Nothobranchius furzeri: one gene and its partner. Each later gene encodes a partner of the first gene's protein in a complex. Links are inferred from orthologs where the notes say so. Each region holds a gene or a part of one and is shown on either strand. Other genes may lie near its edges.

The links.
Region 2: arhgef6 (region 1) and dcp1a share a complex: the UniProt entries of both Homo sapiens proteins name them as parts of the cytoplasmic complex. The link is inferred for Nothobranchius furzeri from reciprocal best matches to the Homo sapiens genes ARHGEF6 and DCP1A.

Annotation. Positions count from the first base shown.
Region 1 is NC_091741.1:83,114,411-83,117,597, forward strand, and holds the end of arhgef6 (rho guanine nucleotide exchange factor 6), read right to left. Parts: intron 995-3,187; coding exon 872-994; 3' UTR 557-871; downstream 1-556. UniProt on the Homo sapiens protein: Acts as a RAC1 guanine nucleotide exchange factor (GEF).
Region 2 is NC_091755.1:32,995,686-33,000,062, reverse strand, and holds the start of dcp1a (mRNA-decapping enzyme 1A), read left to right. Parts: upstream 1-1,305; 5' UTR 1,306-1,344; coding exon 1,345-1,473; intron 1,474-1,847; coding exon 1,848-1,888; intron 1,889-2,658; coding exon 2,659-2,786; intron 2,787-4,377. UniProt on the Homo sapiens protein: Necessary for the degradation of mRNAs, both in normal mRNA turnover and in nonsense-mediated mRNA decay. Removes the 7-methyl guanine cap structure from mRNA molecules, yielding a 5'-phosphorylated mRNA fragment and 7m-GDP.

The DNA of each region.
Region 1 (3,187 bases):
ATGGCTTTCACTACTTTTAAATGTTCATGTTAATAAATACAGATGATGTTTTAAAATCCAAAATAAAGAAAAGCTGAATATTTTGGGTTACAATTATTCTTGTATATATATATATAAGAGTAAATTACCTTTTGTACTAATAAATAGTGCACAGTTAAGTTTTTCCTATGTGTTGATGCCCTGGAAGCTTTGAAGTCCATATCTGAATAAAAGGATCACATTTCTGACGCAAAATTCATAGTAACACTGTAGATTGATGCAGTTTTTTTAAAATAAACAGTCAGCGGAGACATTTGAGACTGTTCACCGTGGTGAGCTCACTTGTTTGACATGCCTACAAAAATGTCTTGAACACAAGGCAACAATCATCTAAACGGTTTAAAAAAGATCCCAGGCCTTTATGGATAAATAAAAACTGACAGTGACAAAGTCATGAGTTCTGTTTTAGAAAGAAGTGCATGCAAGAGAAGGCTTGATGGCTTTGTACTCCTTTCATTTTTCCAACTGAACACACAAATAAAGCAGTCTGGGTGTTTTTTTGTTGTTGTCTTGTTTCTTCTTGTCCAACACTGGCCCGTTTGCTGGGTGGAGTTTACGGAGCGAGTCACCATGTGGCAGGAGATTTGGAAACATGGTGGTGGAGCCCAGCTACATACAAGGAAGCTTGTTTTTGTTTGTCTCATTTAGTGACGCTGGATCAGGAAGACGGATCTCATCATCATAATGAAGAAAGAAACTCCAAGGTTTGAGAGTCTGATTCTGCTGCGTGAGACTGAAATGTGAAGACACGACAAAGATGCACAAATAAACACACAAACGCTTGTCCCAGTGCAGGTCAGCCCACACGTAGCACCATGAAACCAGGACGCGTTCAGTGGCCGCTGTCCTCCCAAGAGCTGTCGTTCTTCTGCTTGGACAGTTTTCGGACTAGCCTCTCCAGCTCTTTGCGAGACTTCTGCTCCTCCTCCAGGAACTGCTTCATCCATTTGTTCTCCTGCAGAGTGTATGAAAAAGAGCTGTATTTAATGAATAATGTAAGTAAGACATTTTTATTTACATAGCACTCATCACTGAAAGAAAATCCCAAAGTGATTCACATAGATTTAAAAAAATCACAAGGTCATAACATCATAATGATCTTAAATAAATTAAAATCAGGAAAACAAATTCATGACGTTACTAAATGATCGTAAATATAAATCAAGTGAAAGATGATTATTAATTCAAGTAAAAAAAGAACAAAAACACAGTAGATTTAGGTAAAAGCAGGTCTAAATAAAAGGGTCTACAGCTGCTTTTTAAAGGTGTCCAGGCTGTCAATACGATGTAAGATTCCTCTTAAGCCCAGAGACCCTGGTGCTACAGAAGAAAATACTCTTTCCAGGCTAAAAAAAAAAATAAAAAATAAACTACTCGGGTCACGTTCTAGGGTTACAGACACCAGCCAGACCACCTTATATTTTTAATGTCACGGTTGAAAGTTCTGACGCAGTTTACAAGGGACATTATTCAAAACTCGCCTTTGGCTGCCATGTGGGTCTCTGCTGCCTCTATAAACACTCTAAATGTAATAAAAACCCATCCATCTTGTAAATGGCTGCAAGTAGGTGGATTGTCAACGTCACTCACTCAATTGTATATAAATGGGCGTTAACCCGGATGTGGACGTGGCGTTGGCATTCCACCTGGCTTGACGTGTTGCAGCAGACCAAACCTCCACGTTAGTGAGGGCATTCTGATTAAAATTGATTAAATAAGAACGTGTCGCCCTACCAAATGCTTTGTACATTTAGTCTATGGTCTTGCCGTGCCAAGCCTCTGCGTGACATTACTTTGATTGCACCCCATGGCAAGAGGAGCAAGGTATTTGTTCTTTGTTTCTGTTTGTTGCTCCTGATGTTTGTCAGCAACTGTCTTTAATTTGTAAATTATGTATTTTCAGTTTTCACTGTGTTTGCACAGTGTTTGGCATCAGGTGCTCGGTGCGATTCTGGGAATGAGACGTATGCATCTACAGCCTGACGCAAATAAAAAGTCGCACCCGTCTAAGCTCTCCTCCTTATATCTCTTGGATGCTAAGGGGCAGTAACAGACAGAAACAAAGAACAAATATCTCTTTTTTTGACCGTGTTTATTTAGGAAATTATGTGCCTGAAATGACTCATTTGAAAAAGTCCTAGTTTGTGATGTCACAAATGGGGAAAAACAAACCACCTCTCACATGCAAAAGAGAGCTGCTACTGGAGGAGCAGCGGTTCTCCTCCAAGCTCCCCCTAGATATCAAAGCCTCTCTGCACATTTTCCAAAATGTATTTAACCGATTATTGAAGCCATTAAGTGGTTAATTCTTTGTTAACCGTAAACTCCCTCTCCAGCCCCCCTCCTGCGCACGCACACAGAGAAAAAAATATAAAATATAAATAAAACTAACGCTTTTCCTCCTACTCTTTTAACATCACTCAGACACAGAACCAAAGTCCCACGCCTGTTAAAACATTCATAAACTAAAAACAACGTTAGTGGGATGAGAGCTGAAATGTCCACCAGGACATGTTGTGTAATGGGCCGTCCGGCATTACAGCACTGCTTATAGAGCATTGTGGAGGCTACACATTTAAAAAAACACTTGAGTTTCCTTACATTGAACTAATTACACCAAAGTTTCCAAACTACAGGAGGCAGACACCAAGCTGTCACAAACGCAGGAGCCTTGTTTCATTTTGCTGCACAGCTTTATTTCCATGTTTTTCCAGGCTCAACGCTTTGATGTCGGCCTCATTTTGTTAACTACCACATAAAGAATGCTCCCACGCTGTGCACTTTCCTAAACGCTTAATTTTTGAGTAAATTTATTTGATCATGTGACAAGCTCTTCTTCTGTGGTTTTGACAGTGGCATTCTTGTGCCTTCTGGTGGCAAAAATATATATTACACCCATGCACAGCAGAAGGACGTGAGTTCAGCTGGCAGTTAACGGGACTTAACCGGCCAACTGTGTACACCCCTACTCTCAGCTTACAGCAGAAAGGCAGGGGCTGGGTGGGCGTGGCCAGCGGCAGCTCATTTTCTGGCAAAGCCCTGAAACGACTCATTCCAGAAGTGACTGAAACTGTCAAGAATTAAAATGCTGAAATTGCTTCATGTGAGAGGGATTTAGTGCAAAAAACTTCTTAAACATGTTTTGTAT
Region 2 (4,377 bases), on another chromosome or scaffold:
ATGGAATGATAGTGATTGGATTACCTGCATTCAGGGTAAAACAGATTCACGGTAGTGCGTAATCCTTAGATTATAATCCCCGTTCCCTAAGCATGAGAGATAGCTGCATGCACCAAAGCTAGGGTCAAATAATAAACATGATTTTTTAAATAGAATTTTCAGACACTTTCATTCACTTATTAGCAGTTTAGGATTTGAATAAAAGGAAAATCTAACTTTGACTTCATAACAAGGAAAATAATGCAAGTTCTTCTCAAATAGGTCTGAGTAATAAATCTGAAATTATAAACTGCATTCATAAAACCATGTCAGGCGTTGTGAAATATTGTTCTGTTTTTGCTTTCATTTTCTTTCAAGATTAACAAAATATATACCAAACAACTTGGGTAAATAAAATGATCAACAATAGAAATTTTAGGCGTAAAAACACAAGTTAAAATGAAAAAAACCATTGTGATGTGTACATATTTCCATGAAACTTGAGGTAGGAAACATATTAGGCTACATGAAATTAACATTATAATTGCAGGCTTTTGCATTGCAAATAGCTACTGAACTCAATTTTAATAATAAATAACTCCAAATTTTGATCATCCAATGAATGAGGTGTGAACAAGTTGTTAAAATAGGTATCTATTTCCGTGTTTTTCTGCTTCACAGTTTGTTGCACATTGCTAAATATTATTTTGGTGGAAATTAAATATGTGGGTTAAAAGTTTATTATCATTTTTATATTTTAAGAAACCTGCAATCACATGAAACTTTCTTAACCCTCTGGAGGCAGGCGCTGCAGATTTGCAACAGTTAAAACCTACCTAACTGGTTACTCCACATACGTATTTCATGAGCATTTTTTTAACTCAGATGTATCCCTGAAAGACTTAGTTGTTTGTTCCTTTATCAAAACTTATTTTGAGCCTGAGAGGGTTAAATGCCTAGAGTATACACATTACATGTATTCCCTTAATTTGAACTGGCTTGCATAAAAGTCCAAAAAAGTTTGAAACTTGTTTTTCTAATATCTCAAAGGATGACATTATGTGTAGGAAATAAGCTTCAACTTCAGTTGGCAAACTACCTTTTCAAACTATGTTCACATTGTTGTGGGTTTGGTTTCAGACATATTTTTTCTGCATTTTCTCTCAGAATTTGCAATTACATTGTTTTTATTATTATTATTATTATTATTATTATTATTATTATTATTATTATTATTATTATTATTCCCCGCGGAATTAAAAAAACTCCTCTGGGGAACCTTTTCAGTGGTGGGATTTCCGTAAATACCGGAAGTTATAGGTGTTTGCAAAAATTCGTCCGTGCGGCAGAAAATCATAAGCAAAGATGGCGATTAATGCTGGACATCTGATGAGTTTAGCTGCTTTGCAGAGACACGATCCATACATTAACAAACTGCTCGATGTTACCGGTCAGGTTGCTCTTTACAACTTCAATTCAAAAGCAAACGAATGGGTAAGTAAGAGAATTTACCCTGGAAAAGTTTCGGGAAATATTTGGTGGAGAGCCAACAAAGCTAGCTTCACACTTAGCTTCTGAGCTTTGATTCAAAACAGAAAATATTGTTGTTGTTTTTTTTTTGGGGGGGGGGGTTGTTTGTTTGTTTGTTTTGTTTTTTAAGTAAATGTCTTTATTTGTTTAGTTAATTAAGATAGCGTTGTCTAGTATGTTGTTTTAACGCGAACACAATTAATGCATCTTAGGTACTTTCTAATTGTAAAATTTAACGCCTTATTAGCTTTCAGTTAGCTTATCACCCTCGCTAAATTTATTTAGCTAGTTTGGATTTGCGGTTTCTAGGTTTGAGTCGTTATCTCTATTTGTTCCAGGAGAAAACCGAAGTTGAGGGAACCCTGTTTGTTTATGCAAGGTAAGAATACCTGAGAGCCACGATGGTTGTTCCGCCGTCTGCGCACGTGAGGCCTTGAAATTTGTAAACAAAGATAAAGTGGACTCTGTGATTCAGTAAATCGAACGTAAATTACAGTGTTTAGAGATTGAAACTGAAATATTATGTTATAACGTTGTAATAAACTTTATTTTTAATCAGTTAAAGCATGAAGAACTAAAACGACCACCTACAAACTTTAGTTATAAGGAAATATAATAGACTTTATTAATTTTGTGGGTAAATTCACTCGTTACAGAAGCACATACACTTAGAGAATAGAAGAAGAAAAATAACAAAAGTACCAGTAAATACACAAAGGCAAATCTTTCTGTTAAAAAAATAAACAGGACACGAATTTGTTGTAGGTTACTTTGAATTGGACTGGGAGCTACTTAAATCAATAGTAAAGTTAACTGCTATCCTTTATATTAATTACTAGCACAGTAAACAGCTCCTGCTTTTTAGCAGGTAGAGACCTCCCACACTTGTGCCGACCCAAACCATAAAACTGTTAAATGTAGTTTCTGGTCAGCAGAGGGCTACTGAGTGCTGTCCCATGTGAAGATGTTCAACTTTATGGCTGAAGAACCACTGAAACCAGTTTGAAGGCAATAGCTTAAAGTGTCGAAAACTCTTTAGTATTGCTTTAAATGGTCAATTAAAAACAATCAAATGTGGAGTAAATATTGTACCCAAAGCAATGTGAAGTGCAATTAAGGAGGTAATGTTTTTCCTGGGTCCTTATGAAGGTCTGCCTCCCCTCACCATGGCTTCACCATTATGAATCGACTGAGTGCACAGAACCTTGTTGAGCCCATAAATAAAGACCTGGAGTTCCAGCTGCAGGATCCTTTCTTGCTCTACAGAAATGGAAACTGTGAGTGTTTTGAAGGAAATGAAACACTAAAGAAGTATTTTTGAAATATGTTATTTTTTCTGTTGTATTTTGGTGTGTTTGTGGTTTTGTTTCAAGGTGACTTAACATTAAGGACTTGTTTCCAGCACAGAAAAAGTGTTTAATAAATCTGTAAACATGTTTAATGACTTCTGAACCAAAATGAAAATACATTTCCTCCTAGTATAATAGCTTATTATTATTGTTGCTTTGTTAAATTCTGTTAGTCACAAAATGCTCATTATTTAATAGAAATTTCTGCAATTTTGGCATTTTCATAATTTTCCTATTTGAAGCATTAGTGATATCTTCACTTTTACATACAAATGTGTGTATTAATTATATTAACTAGCACAAACACTATTATGATCCTTAATTATATTAACTAGCATAAACACTATTATGATCCTTAATTATATTAACTAGCATAAACACTATTATGATCCTTAATTATATTAACTAGCATAAACACTATTATGATCCTACCTGTGAAAACAATAGACAGATATCTCCCCAGCGTTCGATGGAACACCTCTCTTCCATATTGCTTGAAGTCATTGTGACGTCTTGCAGCATCAAGCAGGAACACTTTAGCACTCATGGCCCAAAATGGCCAAACAGCAACTTCAGCTTTGCTAGTGAACAGTTATCTTTCTGCATTTGGGCAACCGTCTCAGAGTTAAGTCTCTGATTGGTGAATCCGACCACTAAGTTAATCCAGCGATGTCCTCCAGCCTTGTGACAGAGCAGTGTAACAAAAAGGCCGCAAAGTTTCTCAAATCTTCAAAAAGTAGCTGACTGCGCTGCCTCCAAGGTAATCTATTAGAAGTCTGAAGAGAAGCTTCATCAGGGCAACGAACAAGGAGTTAGAATGCTTTCCCATTTGTTTGCTTATAAGGAAAAACAGCATAGCCAGGGTCAAAGTTAGAGTCGACGGCTCCCCTTTTGGAGTTGGTTTGCACATCAGCCTGGCTGGGATCGAGGACATGATGAGGTTGGTATCCCAGTAAAACCAGCTTCTCGGATAACTTTACTTTAGCATGTGTGCTAATATTGTTGTTTGGTGGAGTTGCAGGAAGATAATCTTCAGGTTTCTCCCTGGCAGCAGACAGTCCCTCGCACACACACAGTCCACTAGATCTCAGTGTGCTGACTCGTTCTGTAGCCTGTTGCTGTAAAGGTGTGGCTGTATGAGTTTAGATTTCCCAGCTGTGATCCTGAAAGCGAGAGTAGTAGAAGAAACGATGAAGACTGAGCTGGCATAAAAGCAGGATCAAATAAAGAGCACAGGTTAGACACAAGTACGGTTAAATCTTCAGAGAGATGGTGATGATTAACAAATATATGAGTGTTTCTTCAGTCTCCTTTGAGTGCTTGTGAGCTTGCAGCTCGGGGCTATAGACTGTTGGAGAGAGACATACTTGTTTACATGGCTTCATATTCCCTTTGGTGGCTGGAGATGCTGCAGGGAGGCAAACTCTTCAGTTGCTAGGTAACCACAGCCTCCCTGGGGGATGGTATATTCACCAGTGTGTTGGTGCAATCCAAAATCACATAAGTGATGTGGTAACAA